6 linked regions of the Oryzias latipes genome follow. The protein of the gene in region 3 purifies or fractionates together with the protein of the main gene of each other region. This does not show direct contact. Links are inferred from orthologs where the notes say so. Each region holds a gene or a part of one and is shown on either strand. Other genes may lie near its edges.

Region 1 (3,500 bases), on a different chromosome or scaffold from region 3:
CCAGACAACCCAAAACCCCATAGCACCTGAACAGGCGCATGTGACAAAGGCATAGCTAAGGTTTACTTTCTACATTCTCAGATTAGTAAAACTGTTTGTTTTCACTCTCTTTTCTTGGATTTTGACTAATTTCTGGGCAAATGTTTAATCAAATATTGCTTCCCTTGTTCTTTACTTTCCTCAAAAAGAGACACGTGGTGAGTTGGTTTCGATTATTTTACCCACTCGTGTGCTTTTTCATTGCTCTCAGTTTGTAATCAATCATCCACTGTGAAAAAAAGCTTTGTTTAATCATTCATTTACACATGCATGTTGCATACGTGATACATAACCAGTCATCTTGTATCATCCTGTGTCCACTGAAATGCAGATTTTTGAAAAAGATGCTTTGTTTGTTTAAATTTAAAGCAGCATTATTTCCTGTTCAGGCCACCGAGACCAGTGAACATCGCCAATGAATACTTGTTCTCACACTCCATGCCTACATCAGGGAACCCTTACTCCACCAAAAAGTGAGTACAGCCAGGTTAACAATAGATGCCCTGGATTTTATAACACATCTTTTATGTTTGTCGTGATCCCTAAAGGCCCCGTGTCCATGCGACCCGCGCCGTCTTTTATTTTCCTCCCTTTATTTGTGTTTAACCCCTTTTTGTTGCTCCTTGAGCTGAAAGTAAATGGCTTGCCTTGCAGCAAGAATAATGATGTTACACAGAGAAAGCCCCTGACGGGGGCCGCTCCTCATCTGTTGAGAGGGAAAGGGTAAGTGACACAGGTGTGCAAATCCATGTGTGGACTAATATAGGTAATAACTGCTCGGCATGGAGTAGAGTGCTTATGTTTCTTGGAAAACTATTAGCTTCCTTGTAGACAAGGGTTTACTCTGCTGTTCTCATGGGGCTAGTTCATGAAGATTGTTTGCCATAAGTTTGGAGTGTCTATTTTCAAGCTTTTCATTCACTCAGAAATGTAAAAAAACTAACTGGCGGCTCATACGATTAAGCACTGAATGCTACTATTAGTCTCTGCTGGGGTTGAGGTTTTCTTTGCTGTCGCTTAGAAAAAACTGTGTGCTTGTTCCGATGAAGTGGGACTCCTTTAGTCTTTTAGTTGCTTATTAACGTAGCTTTTTTGAAGATTGACTTGAGATTAATGGCAGTACTTGAAACTCCTCAATGGCTGCACCTGTCATGTGCGGTTCTTTGGGAAACACTGCTCCCTTTCATAACCTAAAGAAAGTCCTTCTGATAATGTAAGGAGGGAGTAGCACTCTTTTAAGTACATAGCTGGAAGAATATTTAACACAAGGCTCAAGAAAATGTATCAGAAAATACTTTGACTTTCATTCCTAAACTTAGAAAATGTTGAATTTCAGATTTTTTCATGAATGTCCTCTGTTGAGCCACTACATGGTTCAAGCTGACGAGAGATCTGACTCATACACTTTACGTGACCTGTTTCTAGCACACAGAGCAATTCATTGCACATGTTTTGTTCCTTCAATCAACAATTAATGCTTCAAAATAGAGTATCAGCGATGCACAGTGTTCCAAAAACAGCAGTGTTTTCCACAGTTTTTACTAAGATTTTTTTTCTGCTTATTTTCTTTGTTGCTCACAAGCTTAGTCATCCTGAGTCATTGGTTTTACTCACCCTGCAGCTTGTTGTTTGTTTAATCTCTTATTAAATTCAAAAAGGAGGTTGCTAAAACGGTGCTTGTTTTAGTGTCATCCTCACCACACTTAACATGTTCTGGGTCTTAGGTTATTAAGTCAGTTTTGTTACATGAGGACATTGTTGTTTTTCAGGCGTCACAAAAGCAGGAATCCTGCAAAACACATGTATTGTGTGTATTTTGGCATCCAGGAGATAATTGCTGGATATATTTGAAGCTGTTGAGAAGTATGTAACACGCTTGGGCACATATCGTTGGAAATAAATTTCTTTATCAAGGATAAATTTAAATATTTCAATCATTCTATCTATACAAGCAACAGCTTATGTTTGATGTCTATAAAACCTATAAAATGATCATAGGATAGCTTTCTGCGTAAGGCCTTAGTCAGGATTGACCGGTACGCATGCTGCAGGTTATAGGGTTGTACCTTAAACTGTGCTAAAACAATCTAATGGCAGCTTGAATTATTTAACAAATCAAATAAATCCCTTTATGCATTTGACCGCGGATGCGGATGCCCGCCTCCAATTTAGACTAGGGTCATTTGAAGTGTAATTTAAGGTGTGTTGACTCTTATTTGAATTAAACTGTTGCAGCAAAATAGAAATGACGTTTTTAGTTGTTTTGCTATGTGTACATGTATCGCAAGGTGTATCGTCATCACAATATTGATCACTGATAACGCAATTTGCGAGTTTTCCTCATATTGTGCAGCCCTAACCTCAAGGCATGTGATAAAAGTGGAACATACCATTTTTGCACGTGTGGCAAATATAGTGTGAAGTTTTTTTGTCGAGCGGTGCCCCACGCCACACTATAGTCGGTGGTAAGGTGCGAGTACCGGCTATCTCCTGACCAATTACAAATGCTGCATGCATGGACTGTGCACGTGAAACAGTAGGTTAGTGCCTGTAGGACGCCCATAGGACACCCACATAAACTGCACCCTGTCTCGTTTTCTAGTTTCTAACAGGCAAGCTGCAGGGGTGTGCACTTCTCATTTGAACTGCACTAACCGGCACCTTGCGCAGTCCACAGGCTTTGGGGGGTGGAGAAATAAAAAATCAGTCGAAAAAAATGGGCACGAACATTTTCGCTCTATTGACTCAATGAGCGACTTATGACTTTAACATTTCATGCAGGCCACCTGCACAGGTTTGCCCGTTTTTCACCTGCAGACCGTCCGAATCCACCCGTAAGGCCAGCTGTGACTAAGGCGTAAGCTTTGGTGTGACCGTTAGACTTTATGTGTTTCAAAACAATGTTTTTATTGATCTTATAAAACATCTTCTGGTTTAAAAATTACATAGCAGAGCTTTTGATATGTATAACAATGATTTGATGGCCATCTTTTTATTAATTAACAAAAGAAAAAGTGTCATTACTGCTGTAAAACAGCAGCCATCCAACTTTAGTATTAGATTATCCAACATATTAATAAGATATGAAATAATTAAACCTAATTGCTATTGTGAATTTTTAACATCACTGGAAAACATTGAATTCATTGAGGCAGAACTTACTTTTTATGTTATTTTATAACATAATCAAAATATTAGTGGGAAATAGTTGAAATAGGCTAAAGCTAAAGGATTAACTATTGTTGGATTAGTGCTAAAGTCCTTACAGAGCATAAATGTGGGAAATCTTTGGGAAGCATGCAGTCAAAATGTTACTGCAGCTAGATTTACAACTATAGTGGTTGACATTTTTAGTCACCACATAATGTTTCAATGTCAAACAGTTTTGTTTAAATAACAAAACATCAAGAGATTATGATATTATTTTTATATATTTTTTGTCCATGTTTTATATATATTTT
Region 2 (3,500 bases), on a different chromosome or scaffold from region 3:
CCTCAGAATACCAACTGTATTACAGAGTCTGCAATGATGTGGATGGTCTGGATTTCAAAGGGAGATGGACGATGCGGGGGGGGGATGCACTTTCAAATAAGAACCACAGAAGATACCTTTCCAACACATTAGAACCATTAGAACATATATGGATCTGCAGGTGGATGCATCAGAATGGAGTTGAACAGGGAGCTGGTGGCCCACCCAGAGTATTTTCTACGTAACAAAAACGATCCTTTCCCAACTGTATTTATTTTACCTCTCCTGAATCACCACTATTTGAAAAAAACACAATTGCAGTTTTAATCTCAATTTTCTTTATATATGCCTTCCATCATCAATAAAATGCTAAGAACATGTTAAAAGCACCAAAAACATAATTTTCATTGTTTTTAAGCTGCAGAGGTACAGTAAATGAATTATGGGTTAAATATATAGCAGTTTTATTCCAAATATGATTGAGGTGAAAGTCACATCAAATATGTCCTTAAAATACATCAGAAACCTCAAAGTATATAGTTTTTAGATTAAGGACTTCCAATATGAGCCCAAACATTTAAATTATGTAATTTAAAAAAACAAAATACATTAAATCATATAAAGCAAATGTATCCCAATAAGTAATTTTATCTTAAAAATTCTGAACCTTTTCTTCTAAATTCAGAAATGTCTAATGCGGTGAATGCTATTCCACACAAAAGGGTCAAGGGTTCCTCATCGCCCTTTAAAAATGGGCTTTGTTACATGGTCCCACCCCCCAATTGTTATGACTTAGTGCTTTGCCCCACAGCTCCCTGGCACCACAGTTTTCTGTTCTGATCTATCAGGACTGGAGCTGAACAATCTAACTTTAGGAAGACATATTTAGGGGAATGGAGTGACTGTTAATGAAATAATGCAGCCTGGGAGCTGAAGGCATAAAGTACCACTTAGACGTGGGAGATGATTGTAAGTTCAGTCTATGTTTATGATGAAGACTTGCTTATAGGACAAACTCTCCTCAATGTAGAACATCCATCTTCAACAGGGGTTCATTTAATTAGATTGTTTTTTATATAGAACTGTTTTGAAGTACAATACTTGTCTGACTGAGTGAATGCACGGGTGTGCCCTTTTCTACTTGCTCCTTTCAAAAAAAAAAAAGTACTTTATAGACAAAGTTGAAGAAAATGTGGTTGAAATAAGTAATAATTACTTGAGGTAAATGTATCTGTTCCATGTAACTTCTGAGAATGCAACCTGTACTGCAACTAAATAACCATGAAAACATATTTGCTACAGATGAGACCACCAGAATAAACCTGTGCTTTAATGAGGAGCAATGTAAGGTTTAAATTGACATTATCACACCTTGTCTTAATCTATACATTTTTATTTAGAGTTTGAAATAAAGCACTTGATTCATAAATCCTATTAGATTCAAAAGCTGAAGTGGATAAAGCATTTCTGTGCATTAGTAAGAGAAATTCTTAATTAAATATGAACAAAAAGGAAACTTTGGGATTAGCAAATAGATAGTTTTGCATATATTGATAGTTATTAGTCTGCAGGTGAGGCTGCAATTATAATAATGTTAAAGACTTTTCTGCAGTAATATAAAAACTGCTGTTTAGAGAATAAATTAAAATGTAGGGAAAAAATACATTTCAATCAACGAAACTAAAGTTGGACTTTGTATTAAATCATTATTTAGTTAGTTGGAAAAATTAACTAAGATTTTTAATCATTTCTGTATTTATCCACGACATTTCCTCTTAAGACTTTTTATATTATTTTTGGTCCTTTTATTTTATTTTAAAAATGCATGGTGCCAATCTTCTACTCCAGCTCCAATTTCCTCAAGATTGAAAAACCTTTTGACAGAAGTCTTAAAACTGGAATGTTTCCACAATCTCCATCTTCTAAACTGAGCAGAGGGTCACCTGGTGCAGCAGTTGTCGGAGGCGGTGGAGCTGAGACTCCAGTTGCTTGTTGTGGTCTTCCAGGATGTGCATGCGAGCCTCCAGCCGACCTTTGTGCTGCCGCAGCAGCTTGGCCTCGGCTAAGAGGTCGGCCTCGTCGGGGTGGGCTGAGGAAGCCTCGGATAGGCTTCCAGACGGGGCCCCTCTTTGGCCATGCTGCTCCTTTAACAGCTCATATTCTCTCTGCAGTGTCCTGAGAAAACAGGGAAAAAAATCAACAAGGTTGTAAAGTGAAACAGGAAGAATAGCTTTTCCACTTATTTACTTTGTTTATTTGCTTTCTATTACAGTCATGTAGTAGATCTTTGATCAAACACTGCCAAAGGATGTGCGCCGCAAAACATCATTATCTACTCGATCTCTGCAGAACCACATGTAAGTTTGACAACAATAATCTGAGCAACATTATCTCATTTGTTTACACAACAAAATGTGCAATAATTAACAATATAGAGACATTACTATTGAATATGCACACTCTATGAGACAAGTATGTAACAAGAAGAAACACACATGTGTAAGCAAAACTGAAATTAAGAATTCATATTTTTCTTAACCCGTGAAGACAGAACATGTTATTGTACTCTAAATGATGAAGGAAAAATTGGAAAATTAATGAATCATAAACAAATTTTATCCCTCTAGCACGTACTTCCTTTTCTTTTAAGCAGTGGATTGCTTTTAGTGGAAAAAAAACCCACATTCTGTCTCCTTGCACCTCAAGATCTTTAATCTCAGAACCGTCAACTCCAGTGTTTTACGTAAGATGGCACTTGTGAACCTGGCAGCAAAGCTCTTCGTCTCTATAACACTCTCAGGAAAAGTGAATGGTAAATCACTCCATTGGAAGCACAGTTTTTTTTCAGAAAGCATCCATGCAAGCCAGAAAAAAGCCCCAAACTTTGTCTGGGAACAGAGTCACATTACCCATTTTTAGTGAAAAACTACCTCTTTGCAATCAGCCTGTAAATTCTGTAGCAGGAAAGGTCTGAAGAGTACATCATTTTTAAAATCTGGTAACTTCAGATCAAGTTATCATCTGAAAAACGACCATCCATTTTAAGACGATTATCCCAAAGTGTGCAATATTCCTCTGGTATTTCACATCTCTGGTGCTCACCTCTGCTCCTCCTCCAGACGAGCAATAATCTTCTCCAGCTCCCCTCTTTCCTCCTTCTCCACAGCCTGAAGGATCTGGGCAGGACTCTGAGGCTGGCTGCTCAGGGAGCCTTCCCCTCCCAGAGTCTGGCAGTACTGAATGATGAGGGCATGTTCATCATCCCTGTGGACAGCAGAGAGTCAGCGATGAGCAAGGGCATCTTGTTTCTGTCCGTCACTTCGCAGTCTCAGTCTGTTCGGTTAAGAGCATGCAGCTCTTTAAAAGAAAAGGCAAAATTTAGCAGAATGTTGAACTATTTAGGTTCCCAAGTGACAAAGCAAGGGCCACTGAAGAAAAACACAGAGAAAAAAAAAAGTTCTCTCTAGTTTTGAGGCAGAACAAATCAATTAAAAAAGAACAGTTAAATAATCTGTGTAATT
Region 3 (3,122 bases):
CTGCCCTAATATCAAATAACATGTCCATTGTTGCTTGGTATTTATTCTGTTTTACTTCCCTTATCAATTTAACCTGTTTTTTTATATGTTAGTCTTGGTTTCAGTAAAAAATTTCAAGTGACTGCAAAGTAAGAGCCTGACTCCTCCCCCTCTGGACAGAAAAAGATCAGAGTACTCTTGCTAGGATCAACCTAATAACAGGAAGCGATTAAGATTGATTGATAATGCCCTTTCTGTTCTTGCAGCTTCAGCTAAAAAGAGTTGGTTGTACAATTCCCACAGTATTGAGGTTTTGTTAGAAAATCTCTGACACATTCAGGTCTTGAATTTACTCTATTTTAAAATAAAAAAATGTATTGGTTGGATTTAATGGTAAGGAGGAACCAATGGGAAGAATTGTGCATGCCCTATCTTCAGGATAGGGCAGATTTATGTTTTAAACAGGGTGCTTTGGTGTATTTTGTCTGAACAAAAATCCTGATTTAATTGGACTTCTTTACCTTTTTTTTATTTAGCTTTTATTATTCATAATCATAGCATCAAAAAAGTACATGTATTTCACATTAGAGCTTATTTGGATTTACAAGTTTTACTTCATTGTTCCCCATGAATCCTACAAAATAAATCAAGTTAAGAATTTTCATTCTTCGATAACCTTTTTTGCTCACAAAACCTTCTCAAAATGTTAAAGAATGCACATGATCAAATTGAGTCCAGTGTGAAATTTCACGTTTGATATCACATTTGATACAAACAATAGAAATTGCACTCAGCAGTCTTGTCAATAAAATGCTTTACTGTCTTTAAATAAAAAAAAAATATAAAGCAAATCATTTTCCACATCACATAGGGTCAACACACTAACCTTTGAAACCAAAAAGACAGTTTTATTCAAACAAAAGGAAATAAAATTGAATTTTTTGTGCATTCTTTCTAGTTTTTCATTGTGTTTTTCTTTTGTACCTAATCCAAACACTGATTTTATGACACAGACACATGGTGCCTTAAAATCACAACAACCAGTCTGATAGGTTTGCTACTGTTGTGATCTCCACAACCTGGCTTTCACAAAATATTTCATTTTAAGAAAAGTCATAGTGAAGAATTTTAGATAATTTTGTGAAACTCTCAGAATGTGTGCCTGCTCACAGTCTTATTTGCACATTGTTTAAGAATGGCCACTTTGAAAATAAATAACTCTCTGCAGGGAGAACTCTAAATGTCGGTCTCTTTCAGGCCGTGACATTCTGCCAGATCATAGAACTGAAAACTGCCCTGCTCACAAGAATTGCAGATTCCCATTGAAACTGTGTCCACAGTGTCCCTCCTGCCCCCGCCAGGTGTGGCTCCTTTTCCTGTCCCTCCCTTGATCTTGTTGGACAGATTGTTGACTTTTTCCTTAAACTGAAAGGAGGAGTTCTGCAGAGGCGGAAAAAGGCTCCATCTCTTTAAACCGAGTGAACAACCTTTCTTCTTATGCAATAAAGAGCTGCTGCATGATTCATGCACGGCATAGCCAGGTGTGTATTCTCCCCTCTGATCCCTTGCCATTCCTTTCACAGCTGTCCGCCACCTCTGGTCATAGAAGCGGCGCAGGACCCTCCGCTTTTGATGGCACTGGCATTTGAGCAGTCGAATGAATGCTCGCTGGAACTCTTTGCTAGAGCAGGGGTAGATCATTGGATTGATGCAGCTGTTGAAGTATCCCAGCCAAAACACCACCTTGAACACAGTTTCAGAGGGCTTCAGTGCTGGGAAGACGGAACCTTGAAAGGGATGGAAACATGAGGATTAGCATCAACTGAAGCCAAATCTTTGCAGAGTAAGGACACTTTATACATTAGATTTACATGTTGGATAGTTCATTCAGATAAGTTCTTTTTTTTTTTAATCTAAATATTTTATAAGTCATAAAGAAACCATGATCTAAATTTTTTAAAAGTTTCTATTTTTGGAATTATTGATGATAGTGGGTCCTCTGCCATCAACCTCATTACCAGCAAAGCAACCTATTATGGTATTTTGCCAGATTTAGTTATTTATTTTTAAATCTTCAACAGCCTCATATTAATTTTTTGGGTAATCTTTTCTTCAAAGTTTGGTCATTTTTATTAACAAAAGCAAAAGGACATTTTGTTCATCAGAAATATGACTCTTAAGAGCTGAGGCCTGTAAAAATAAGAGGTAATGAAATATTAAGCAGCATATTAAACCTACTTTTTAAAACTGTTAAGGTGCATGGTAACAACCTGTCAGGGTCATCAGGTGACATTTTTAATAACAGACACTCTAAGAGGAAACACTTTTTAATGCTTGTTTGTGCCATTATAGCTCGTATCACAAACGCATTTACTTACACCAAAACGCAAGTATTGGTTATAAATTATGGGTTTTTGCCAATGATAATATATGAGAACTGGACAATGTGACTCCTGCCCCCTCGCATTCCAAATAGAAGGTACCCACTGGCTCCAAGAAGCCAAAATCCCATAGACTTCTACAGACGAAAACAATTCTATTACTTAGTCATTACTCAGTTCTTGCTAATCATATTTCTTTTTTTCATATTTTATTCTGAAGTGGAAATTATTCTAATTATAAACTGGCCAATCAGAGGCCTCCATTGAAGTTTGTGGTCTAACGTTGCACATTTGAAAGGTGTGACAGATTCTCCTGAGTCTGCTTTCAAATGGTAGGGGCGGCCTTGCAACAAGCTCACTCCTGATTAGCAGGAGTGGTTGCCACACATATGATGACTCAGACTGACTCAGAACAATCACTAATTACTGACGTCATCTGGCTTAAACATTACGGCATCTGTATAGTGAAAAGATGACGACTGAATTGACTTTGGGTTGTCACGGTGCCTCGGTCAGCCCCGCCCCCTCAGCTCTGCTCCTGACTTCCACCAGCTGTGACCACCTCATCTCATCAACCTGCCTACACTTAAGGAGATCCAGCCCATTCATCGACGCCAGTTCGTTAACTCCTAACGGTGACTACGCCTGGTCAGCCTGCTCAAGTCCCATGTCTTTGTCCTGCCTTGCTCTCATGTTCTGCCTCTCTGTCTCAGGATTTACCCAACGAAGGTCACCTGTGTGGAAGTCTGCCGTCACTCACCT
Region 4 (3,965 bases), on a different chromosome or scaffold from region 3:
TGATTTCTGTCACTTTACATCAATAGATTTTAAAATTTACTGTAGAATTTCTGAATCCTGTCGTTATGTATTATAACCTTTATACAAGAAAACAACATAAATTATAATACGAGGGAAATGTAAAACTTTTTAACATTACAAATCAAAATAACTAATGAAAGATATTAATGGAAGGACATTTAAAAAAAAAAGTTCAATCATATTATTGAAACAAACAGAAATGATCATAATATTTTTTACGAGTATTTACATGAAATATAAAGTAGTTTATTTAGTACTTACTGGAAAAAAGATAACAGAGGACTCCCAGAGAGCGTGTTAAAACAGTTTACCTCTCAACATAAACCCAAATATATAGTAGATGCTAAAGCTAAAATGGAGGAAACGAGCTAAACATCCAAGCTCTGTATCCAGAATCCACCACAACCATCATCTGAAAATACCATTTATGTATTAAATATGAAACCATTGATGTCACCAGGCATTAAAGGGGTTCATTTTAAGGGGTGGCATTAATGGGAAATTGCTCCCTCTAAGCACAAGCCTCTCTGGTCATTTGAGGTACTGCAACATTTTGTTGCTTCCTCGTTAGCTTTGAAAACTATGCTGTCATCATATCAGTTCATCTATCCATGTATCTATCTTCTCCTTTTATATGTTTCCTGAGATTTATGTTGAATGTTCTTCCTGACACTACGTACTCCATTTACCGGGCTTGGGACAGGCACAAGCAGAACACTGGTTGAGGAAGCATTTATCTTTTTTTTTATGTCTATTTGTCTGTCTGTCCATCTGCCCATCCTTACATGTTTTTTTTGTCTTTTATTTTTGGAAGTGACTATACACACGTAATTTCTAAACCATGTGAGGGCCGTGCTGAACTGTTTTCTTGCTCGCATTTATTTTGAATGCTGAGCCTATGTGGCTTAATGTACACAAACTTTAAATATTCTATGTGCCAGTTGGTGATCATTCCTGTTTTACAATTACCCCTTAAAAAAATGTGCGACCAACATCAAAATGTAGCACTGATCGTACTTAAAACACGTGCGGGCCGGGCAATGTAGCAATATGCATCTTGTGCGACATGAATCTTTTTTTCTTCTTCTTACATTTGTAATTATTTATTTTGTGTGTGTGGGGAGGGGGGTTGTTTATTTGTATTTTGTCTTTTTTTCCATCTTCTTTGTAGTTGATTTTGAATTTTGGGGGGACAGTCACCTCATTTGTGGGGCACTTCCCCCCCGCCCCCCGCCCATGCTTATGTCCGTCCCTGCTTTCAACAAGTGGTCATTTAAACAGGATTAAGGCACTTTTGGAACCGCATAGCCATTAATTTAGGAATGTGCATGCAGGTAAAGGAAATCTAAAAAAAAGCCTGGGACTCCCTGTCCTCCTTTCTGACCTACCTTCCAGAGTCACCTCCTTCCCCGCTCGTTTTAGCGCCTGCACAGCCTCGTCGTGGGTCGCGTCCCGCAGGTTCATGCCGTTCACGGTGAGGATGGCGTCCCCGACATACAGAGACTGAGTCTGGTCTGCTGCAAGCCCCTTGAAGATCTTACTAATGAGAATAGGCATTTTGTTCTCTTTCCCTCCTTTAATGCTGATCCCGAGTCCCCCGACTTCCTGCTTGGTCACCTTGACGCACCGCTTCTTGTTGGCGATCGCTTCTGGCACTCGCTCCGGGAGGTCCGTGAACGCGGTGCGCACCGCCTGGGGGCCATTATTTGAGTTGGCGTTCCTGTTATCAAGGTAAGATCCATTTGTGACGCCGTTGAAGTTGTCCTGTGCGCCGTCGTCCTCGCAGCTCAGCGTGAGCGCGTCCACGCTCAAGTTGACCAAAACTTTGTGCCAGCTCTCCCGCACCAGAACCTCCGCGAATCCACTTTTCTGCGCCCCAGAGCCGGCGCTCGCAACTCCGGCCGTTGCTACCACCGCCATCTTTGCAGCATTTCTGTAAAATCACATGTGATTAAGTTCCCAGCGCGCTCTCACCCAATCACCGACACCCCGACTTCCTCCAGATCAGGCTGGACTTCGTCCTCCGTGAAGTTTTCCGTGGGATTTGTCAGCGCAGCCTCACAGATCCCTCTCTGAGTCCGCCAGCCCGGAGATCCTCTTTGCGGGGAGGAGTTTTCCCATGTTCAGCTCCCGCAAACATTGTTCATCATCTCTCAAGTGCGCGCGACTGGCTCTGAGCCTGAAGCTGTGAGTGCAAAAGCATTACGTTCATGTCCTTCACTCGACTTTCAGGGAGAACAACAAGTCAAAGTATTCCTTTAAAGATGTATGACATTCTTATTTTACGTCAGACTTCTGTTTCATTTGAACTCAGGAACTTCACAGGACCAAAAAAAAAAAAACCCACACATTTTTACTTTGTCAGATCTTTAAATTTCTTTAACTATAATTGATTTTGAGCCCTCATGGTCATAAATGGTTTACATCAAACATGTGGAAACAAGAATGAATCTAACCCCCTAGTTTAGATGTTTCCAAGAATGAGTGCACTGACTTTTGTTGAAGCATCTAAAAAAAAAGGAATTTCCCATGTTATGGGGAAATATGGTTCTCTAAACATAAACTACAGTATTTATTAGTTACCAGAAAAACTTTGAAATTAAAGGGCATTTCTGTGGGTTTTTAAAGCCAAAAATAGTCAAGTTGTCAGCCCAAAACTGAAGTTTCATCTAAGAAACTCCTGAAAACTTTTTTTTTACATCAAGGTTTCAATGACACCTGCTGGTCACTTCACAAAAATGGCTTTCATTCAAAGATTATCAGAATCAGAATCAGAAATACTTCATTGATCCCACACGTGGGAAATTTGTTTGTCACCATAGCAACTGACAGCAGAGGGGAAAAAAGACTAAGAATAATTTAAAAAAACAAGAACAAAGAAAATGTAGCATAAATGCAAACAAGGTGGTATAATTTAAAAAGCTATTTACAGAACAGTGCAGGTAAAAAGATGTGCAAAAGAAATGTGCAAAATAGAAAAAATAAATAAATAAATAGCTAATAAAAACTGTGCAAAGGTTATCTTTTGCATTGTGACTTGTTGTACAGGGTTATTGCATTGGGTATGAACGATTTCTGGTACCGGGCAGTTTTGGAGCGGAGCTGTCTGAGCCTCCTAGAGAAGGAGCTCCGCTGTTTGTCCAGAACAGGGTGGAGAGGATGCTCTGGGTTGTCCATGATTGAAAGGAGTCTTCCTTTTAATATTTATTTGCAAATGTCAATCTCTTGTCTTGCAGGATTAAATAACACAGTATTTTACACATAAACATTTTATTTTGAAAAATAAAGTGTTTCCTTCCATCTAAAAGTAGCAATTAAGTCAAAGAGACGGACCCAACAATGCTTATAATGGAGTCAGTGAACAACAGTTCTCTTACGTTTCTCTTTCTCCTGTTGGAGTCATAGCAGTCACGCTAACTGTGTTGTTAGTCTGCAGGATCCAGCCTCTCTTTTTTTAAACTTTATTTGACATGTTTTATGCTTGCTTAGATTTAGAAAGTATCCCATTAAAAAACACATTTCTGTATTTTGTAGACTAGAGTACATAAGGCAAATATTCAAAGCAAAGGAACATTTTCATGTTCGAGTGAGTCGGTGGTTCTGGTCAGGAATGTAGGGCCAACATCACCTGCACATTTCCCTTAAAATGAAACTTTTTTCTGCATTATGTTTAAGGACCTGCTATAAAGATAAGGACTGTTTTTCATACTGTTTATATAGTGTGCATTGAATCAGGATGGGAGTCTTTGTGACATGAAATAATTCCTGCTGAACTGCACAGAGTGCATTGAACAACTTTTTTTAGAAACAAAAATATTTGGTTTAATGAGGTGTTAGACTTTAATTGATCTATACTTTTATGTGGAAATTAGCCAGTGGATGAAATGCACATTCTTCTCTAATGACTCTCAAAACAAAGAAATTTCAGCATTATGAAATATGAT
Region 5 (3,500 bases), on a different chromosome or scaffold from region 3:
TGCAGAGTCGCAGACAAAAAAAGTCTTTTTCTGTTTCTCACACTTGTTGGAAAAATAAAAGACTCTCGCAAACAAACCATTTCTCCCTCCGGACCTCCAAAGTCAAGATAAAGGTTCCGTATTCCATCGTCGGCGGACATTTTGAGCTTCTCATAGGGATATCTGTAGAGCACCGCACCCCCCGGGGGGTCGGCCGGCTCCCTCGTCACGGTGAAGCCCATCTCGAAGTGCAGCGTCAGTCGAACGTCCTGCCTGTTCAGCGTGCAGCCTGGCAGAAAACAGCAACAGGTCAAGGTGGGAACGACCACGCCTTTCCTCACCTCAAGCTTTTAGGATACATTCAGAAAAGTGAAGCAGTTCAAAAGAAAACCACAAAAAATGGAGCAAATAAATGTCAACGGGAAAAACGGCAATTTATAGTCAGGTGAAGAACTCGATAAAACATTAAAAAAAGGTTATTGACTAAAGTGTTGAAAACCTTTGAAATTAAAAATATTTTAAATTTTGCTAAAAGTTTATTTATTGCAAAAAAAACAACAACAAGTTTGTTCTGTTGTTTAAAGCCAGCGGCGACTCTTTCAAAAAAGCCAGTTGCCCTGATGCAGCTCCCTGTGAGGTAATTTGATCTTTAAGTATTTCCATGTGTTGGATTGAGAGGACCGAGCTTTTCTGAACTACTGGGTTCCTGCGGGGCGGCCAATGGCTCGGTGTGTCTCTTCAGCTGCAGAAAGCAGCTTCTCCGTGCAGCTGCAGAAAGCAGCTTCTCCATGCAGCTGCAGAAAGCAGCTTCTCCGTGCAGCTGCAGAAAGCAGCTTCTCCATGCAGCGTTTCTCTGCAGCTTCTCCCTGCAGCTGCAGAGAGCAGCTGCCTAGAGCAGCCGCTCTCTGCAGCTTCTCCCCGCAGCTGCAGAGAGAAGCTGCTCTCTGCAGCTGCTCCATGCAGCTGCAGAGAACAGATGCACAGAGAAGCTGCTCTAGGTGGCTGCAGAGAGCTGCATGGAGCAGCTGCCTAGAGCAGCCGCTCTCTGCAGCTTCTCCCCGCAGCTGCAGAGAGTGGCTGCACAGAGAAGCTGCTCTCTGCAGCTGCTTCATGCAGCTCTCCGCAGCTGCTCTCAGTAGCTCCTTTCTGCAGCTGCTTTTACAGCTACAACTGATTTCTGCAGCTTCCTGCTGCTGTACACACCTCACCTCACAAAAAAACCTGCATGTTTACAGGAAAAAGCTTTTTTTTTTTATTGTCTGCTGGATTAGTTTGTCAAATTTGTACCCCAGAAAAAACTAGAGCATTGTAATATTTGTTGGTAAAGCTGATGATGTCATGGGCAAATGTAAAACCACATCCTGTGTTAAACCACACCGCTGCTGATGTGCACACAGCAACAACAGCACATGTGCACAGGGGCCACCGGGCATGTCAGGTGGTTCCTGACACAGCACGCATGTCTGTGTCATTTACAAAGGTGACATGTTTGCAAATAGGTTCTTTTGTGTTTTTTGGGCCGATACCGATCATCAGTAAGATGGCAGGTAACCAAATATGTGGGGCCAATATTCATTTGCAGTAAAAGTACAAACATTTGCATCAAAATTTAGAATAAGTCATGTCAGGAGCCATGCGTACCATTAGCCCTGCACGTCAAGAACCTGATTCTTTGTCATTATTTTCTCAGTGAACTCATCGGTCCGTGTCTTTAAAAAAAAAATACAACTACTTCTTATGCACCAACTATAACAAAGCTTTCAATTTAAACCACTTCTGAAAATAAGCCTGATAGCAAAAAGACGTTTAGTGAAACTTAACATAAAAACAACAATTTAAGAAAACTAAATCTGTGTTCCTATTTAAATGCTTTCCAAGTTTTCTAACAGGAAAACTTTCTGTTATCCTGTCAGAAAAGCCTTTTCATAACATAAATTCAGAGCTTCGCAGAGGTGGGTGGTGTCCTTTCAAACGCCGTCAGCTCCTCCGGGGCTGAAACCGGCACCTCACTGATCTGAATCTGACACAGTTTGCTCCACAGCTTAGAAATGAAACACACGGTTCTGGGAGAGGATCCCTGCTTCATGTGGACATTTTTTTTTTCCTGGAATCTGTTTTTGTAGAGTTCTACCTAATCGGAGGAGTATCTAAGGGCAGGGATGCCCAGTTTCGTTGAGTCTGTTTAGTAATCAGCTATTGCACTTTATGACTGATTTTAGGTTTTGTACAATTAGTGAAGCCCGTTGAGACAACTGTGTTGTAATATTTGGGCTATAGACCTAAAACTGAACTGAATCAGCTGCTCTGTAGCTGTAGAGTGTTTGTGGAACCGCCAGCAGGTTCTGCAGATGCTCCTGTGTTTGTAGCATCTGCAGAACCTGCTGGCGGTTCCACAAACACTCTCTTGAGTCTTTTATCCTTTTCTTCATTATTGATCTTCCAGGCTTTAAAGTTGAACTATACTTTGTCTATTTAGAGGGAAGTCAAATCCTCATAATGTGATCTTTTGATTTTAAACGTGTCCATTACAGAGGAGCACTGAATTCACATTTTATGCAAAAGTAATCCGATTACTCAGGTCTCTTTCAACCTGCAGACTCACCAATGGAGACCTCCTGGATGATCTCTGCAGCCGTGTGGACACCCTGCACCAGAGCTCGCGTCCAGGAGGAAAGGTCCCAGTGAGTTTCCACGCGGAAGACGTGTGACTCGATGCCTCGACTGGTGCCGGTCCGAGTGGCAAACACCATGTCCGACCCCTGGGAGGGAGAACCCCCGGAGCTGCCGGAGTGGACCAGTCTGAGGAGACACGGATGGAGGTTCGCCCTGAAGCCAGGTACCGGATTGAAGGGGTTGCGTAAAAACATGGAGCATCGTTCCTTGAGACACGATCTGACTCCACGCTGCCACATTTACAAACCAAGAGGCTTCTTTCTGCGTTAAGAAGACCGCTTTAGACTAAATTTGTATCCACTTTTTTAATATTAGAGAAGTTTTGTAGACATAAATCACAACTATATCATTTTCATTTATATAACTGCTAAAATATTATTAACATAAAGCTTTTCTTGTGATAATCTGTGCAGTAAATGCAGATTATTGGAAATAAGAAAGGTTCACATGGACTTCTCATACACAGTGTTCCCTCACTAGAATGTGCTCCACCTTCTGCAGTCTTGCTGTTTCCCCAGATTTTTTATAGTGTAAATTTGCATGTTTTTTTTGTTTTTTTTTACATAGGATTATGTTCTGCATTCTGATTGGCTGTTGACCTTGTCACTTAGTCTCCTCTGTGCCGTACCTCCTGAATGGAATGTGTAGAGTTTGCCAAATTTGAATAAATGTTCCACTGCGGGGTCTTTGTTTTCATTCCATAGTAGTAGACTTCTTCTTCTTCTTCTATCAGCTTTGAGAGTTTAAAAAGGAGAGAAAAGTGTGAAAATGTTTGTGTCTGTCCAAGAGGAGAGTATAAAGTGTGTAGCAAGGAGTCCCTAAAACATCTGTAGTCCTTCTTTTTGGTT
Region 6 (3,500 bases), on a different chromosome or scaffold from region 3:
AAGGACTTCTGGCTCCAACGAAGTCGATTCAGTCATTTTTTTGCCTGTTGGAGCCTGAAATTGTCAGTAAGCAAGTGATTGGTCCAAGTCGATCTGAGTCATTGTTTCTATGGCAACCCCTCTAACCAATCAGGAGTGAGCTTATTATACCACCTAAAGCGGGGGTAATCTGTTAAATGTTCCATGTGGGGGGGTTACCTGTTATTGAGGTGTCTGGTCAGTTTATACGTTGAATAACTTGCAAAAAAGAAAAAAACATATAAAATTATCAAGATTATGTAAAAATAAGGTATCAGGGTAAGAAAGATTATTCTGACTAACAAAAATGCTAACTAGTGCTTTATAAAAGGTCTATGAGATTTTGGTTTCTTGGAACCAGTGGATACTTCCTGTTTGGGACGCCAGGGGGAGGGGTTACTCAGTCCAGTCCTCATTTACAGTCAGTGGTTCAGATGCTTCCCAGTATCCACAAATGCGTGGCACTTCTGAATAATTTCTGTAATATTTAAGACGGTAGCATCTGATATAATTTCTCGTTATCCCTTGTGCTATCCTAGGCACTTTACCATTGGGAGTTGGGTCATCTAGACCCACTAGACAGTGCTCTGAACCTTTTTTCTTCAATGATTTGTGATCTTCACTGGTGTCCATGGATTACATGAAATCTTTCCACCTTTATCCACCTTAGTCATGGTAGGGAGAAGACGTCAATGTAAGGGTGGGGTCATCTAAGATAGCACAAGGGTTAAAAAGCTTTACTTAACCTTTTCGTTCCTAAATAAGGTAAAAAAAAAAAGTCTCCGCTGTCACTTCTGATTAGTTTGCAGTAGTCAGAATATTTGGCATTGAACAGATTTTCTTTCGCTAAATGAACTTATCACACGTGAAATGATGACAAATGAAGTTGAACTTGTAAAATACTCGTATGGCCACTATAAAACATTTAGTTAAAAGGTTCATGTTACCAGGCTGAGATTGCACAAAGGTTGTAGTGATGACTGCATCATGTAGCTTGTGTGTTTTTTTGTCCTTATGTAACTTGTCCAATACATTAACAATACAGCACAAAGCACACAGGTCTGTTACACTGAGGCACATGGTGAAGACAGATGTATGGCTGAAGGGGGGCTTTTATTTCCTGACTTCTGATCATTTTATTAGCTCAACTAATGACGGTTACTCCAAAATTAGATTTAAGATGACCTCACTTTTCTTGGAAACGCAATACTACCGGTAGTTTTGATTGTCGTCCTCTAGTGGACTGGGATGGAACTGTTTCAGATTAACAGTGCATGACTACCTCCAGATTGGGCTTTTATGTTTTTAACTGCAGAATTATTCCACCTAAGGCAAATTCTGCCCAACAAAGTCTGTTTTTACAGCTTCTAGCCACTTTTCTAGTGACTCTTTCTTGGATCAGGAGTGCTCCACAGAAGTGAGGTTGCTTTGCTGATGCGGAGAACAAGATAACATGGAGATCATCTCCTGAATTATTTGCTCTCCAGTAGGTTGAGGCTGGCCATGTGCTCGTCCAAGGACTTGACTCCAAAGCCGTTGCTGTTATTGCCATTCAGGGCCGCGTCTTTTTTAACTGGAGCGGACGTGTGCTGCGTCTCCCTCCAGTCCTGAGGGGAACTGAGGCTTGTACGCTCTGATTTATGCTGCAACAGAGGAGATTCTGATTAGGGGACAAAGACATTTAAACACTGATGCTTTTCCCCCAACTGAGAACTTAATGAAGTGAATGTTGTTCTAGACGGCATCTTTGTGTTTTGGGATATTTTTCATTAGACCCAGTTCTATGAAAATGGTCTTTTTGGTGTTTTTAATATGTTCCTGTGGCATTTTTCTGATAATGAGGGACATACATATCTATATATATATCTATATCTATATATATATATATATACATATATATATATAAATCTTCAGATTAAAATTGTATTTCTGAGTTTTTATTCAAGCTTTTGTGAATCAGGAGCAGACGGAAAAATGCCGTTGGAATAAGATTGCGGTTCACAAGCTTCCTGCTTTGCTCCATTCTGATGCATCCACTTGTAGACAAATTGATCCGTGTACGTCTTTGTTTTCCTTGTCCAAAGTGACATCTGGTTCAAAAATGTACGGCTGGATAGCTGGGAGAGAACAGGAAAGACATTCACAGCTATAACTCAGAGGTGAATTCTTAACGCACTCCTTCTGCTCTGCAGAAACTATGTCCTAGAAAACGACACAGGTTTTATGATTTTGTCTAAAAACAACACAACTATAATTAAAAGACCACTGGGAGGGCTTTTAGAATAGATCAAAAGATGGATTTAAAGTGGCACTTTAAAGAGTTTAGTGTTCAGTTTAGTGTCTGGATGTCACCTTTTTGATGAGCTTGTTACAGAGTGGAAGGAGGGAGGCGACCACTGTCATTAGACTTCTGCTTGCTTGAATGGTGGAGTCCACCTGCAGACAAATACAAAGAAAAGACATTTTCGCTTAAAATTAAATGTTTCAGATTGATTGAATTGGGTTCATTTACCCAAGCTTTTACATTAGCAGTTGATATGTTTAAAGGTATTTTTTCTTTCTTTTTTCCCTCTTTTGATGGCGGGCTTTGGTGGGAAATATAAAACGTTAAATATTGTAAAAGTGTTTAAACTGCCAGATCAAATGTCTGTTCATTTGTTTTGCGCCTAATGAAAGTAGATGTTCACACATGCTTTAATTAAGGTCTCTGAATGTTGATTTAGCCTTTCTATGATATTAAAGATATTTACTGCCTCCTATTGAAAGAAAATTGCTACATATTGAAACAGAATTCCATCGGAATTTGGTCTGGGCAGAATATTGTTGCACACTTTAAATGAACAGCACACCACTGCACATTTTGTGAGTTTTACTCACGGGTTTTTCCAAGTAAAGCAGCTTATGCAAGCACATACATGTGGGTTATTTTTTTCTGGAAAAACAAACTCTCAGTGCTCCTCAGATCTCTTTTCTTTCCCTCTCATTCATGCTGCCCTTCGCTCCAGCATGACGTCATTCTTACTCGACGGCGCTAGTTCCACCTGCTGGCCATTTACAGTACTACACGGTTTGTAATGAACCCACAAACACTTGAACAGTTTTAAAACTAAACAATTATAAAATAACTAAAAAATAACTAACAAGGGGGGTAGCTTCTTTTCACTGTCCTTACAATATATAGACTGGAAAAAAAACTTTATTGCTCCTACAAAGGTGGAATTACCTAAAATTCTAGATGAACTTTTTTGGTTACCAGTCGGGACGCCGGTAACATCCAAAGTTTACCGGCCAAATTAGGTTTCTACAAGCCAAACGTTTCTCTGGAAAAATAATTTGTGTATTTCAAAGCAAAACAGTCATTCCCTTTAATTATAAAGTTTCAGTTGATGATTATTCTAATAATAATTGGTTGAATGCTATAAAGCACTGGAAATAACAATAAAATACTTCAGCGGAAAGTCTATTTGACTTGATAAACTAAT

What was found.
Region 1: the proteins of adra1d (region 3) and dtna purify together in Homo sapiens (tandem affinity purification; 4 studies listed by BioGRID and IntAct, with this or other methods). This does not show direct contact. The link is inferred for Oryzias latipes from reciprocal best matches to the Homo sapiens genes ADRA1D and DTNA.
Region 2: the proteins of adra1d (region 3) and utrn purify together in Homo sapiens (tandem affinity purification; 4 studies listed by BioGRID and IntAct, with this or other methods). This does not show direct contact. The link is inferred for Oryzias latipes from reciprocal best matches to the Homo sapiens genes ADRA1D and UTRN.
Region 4: the proteins of adra1d (region 3) and sntb1 purify together in Homo sapiens (tandem affinity purification; 4 studies listed by BioGRID and IntAct, with this or other methods). This does not show direct contact. The link is inferred for Oryzias latipes from reciprocal best matches to the Homo sapiens genes ADRA1D and SNTB1.
Region 5: the proteins of adra1d (region 3) and sntb2 purify together in Homo sapiens (tandem affinity purification; 4 studies listed by BioGRID and IntAct, with this or other methods). This does not show direct contact. The link is inferred for Oryzias latipes from reciprocal best matches to the Homo sapiens genes ADRA1D and SNTB2.
Region 6: the proteins of adra1d (region 3) and ctnnal1 purify together in Homo sapiens (tandem affinity purification; 3 studies listed by IntAct, with this or other methods). This does not show direct contact. The link is inferred for Oryzias latipes from reciprocal best matches to the Homo sapiens genes ADRA1D and CTNNAL1.

The regions. Positions count from the first base shown.
Region 1 is NC_019875.2:27,149,389-27,152,888, forward strand, and holds part of dtna (dystrobrevin alpha), read left to right. Parts: intron 1-188; coding exon 189-197; intron 198-428; coding exon 429-512; intron 513-693; coding exon 694-762; intron 763-3,500. UniProt on the Homo sapiens protein: May be involved in the formation and stability of synapses as well as being involved in the clustering of nicotinic acetylcholine receptors.
Region 2 is NC_019882.2:8,709,336-8,712,835, forward strand, and holds part of utrn (utrophin), read right to left. Parts: intron 3,244-3,500; coding exon 3,082-3,243; intron 2,155-3,081; coding exon 1,923-2,154; intron 1-1,922.
Region 3 is NC_019859.2:14,271,719-14,274,840, forward strand, and holds the end of adra1d (alpha-1D adrenergic receptor), read right to left. Parts: intron 1,767-3,122; coding exon 1,216-1,766; 3' UTR 501-1,215; downstream 1-500. UniProt on the Homo sapiens protein: This alpha-adrenergic receptor mediates its effect through the influx of extracellular calcium.
Region 4 is NC_019874.2:10,594,485-10,598,449, forward strand, and holds the start of sntb1 (beta-1-syntrophin), read right to left. Parts: upstream 2,801-3,965; 5' UTR 1,942-2,800; coding exon 1,410-1,941; intron 1-1,409. UniProt on the Homo sapiens protein: Adapter protein that binds to and probably organizes the subcellular localization of a variety of membrane proteins. May link various receptors to the actin cytoskeleton and the dystrophin glycoprotein complex.
Region 5 is NC_019864.2:27,650,494-27,653,993, reverse strand, and holds part of sntb2 (beta-2-syntrophin), read right to left. Parts: intron 2,779-3,500; coding exon 2,582-2,778; intron 269-2,581; coding exon 78-268; intron 1-77. UniProt on the Homo sapiens protein: Adapter protein that binds to and probably organizes the subcellular localization of a variety of membrane proteins. May link various receptors to the actin cytoskeleton and the dystrophin glycoprotein complex.
Region 6 is NC_019869.2:9,199,866-9,203,365, reverse strand, and holds part of ctnnal1 (alpha-catulin), read right to left. Parts: intron 2,455-3,500; coding exon 2,371-2,454; coding exon of another isoform or gene 2,353-2,370; exon of another isoform or gene 2,302-2,352; intron 1,662-2,301; coding exon 1,491-1,661; 3' UTR 1-1,490. UniProt on the Homo sapiens protein: May modulate the Rho pathway signaling by providing a scaffold for the Lbc Rho guanine nucleotide exchange factor (ARHGEF1).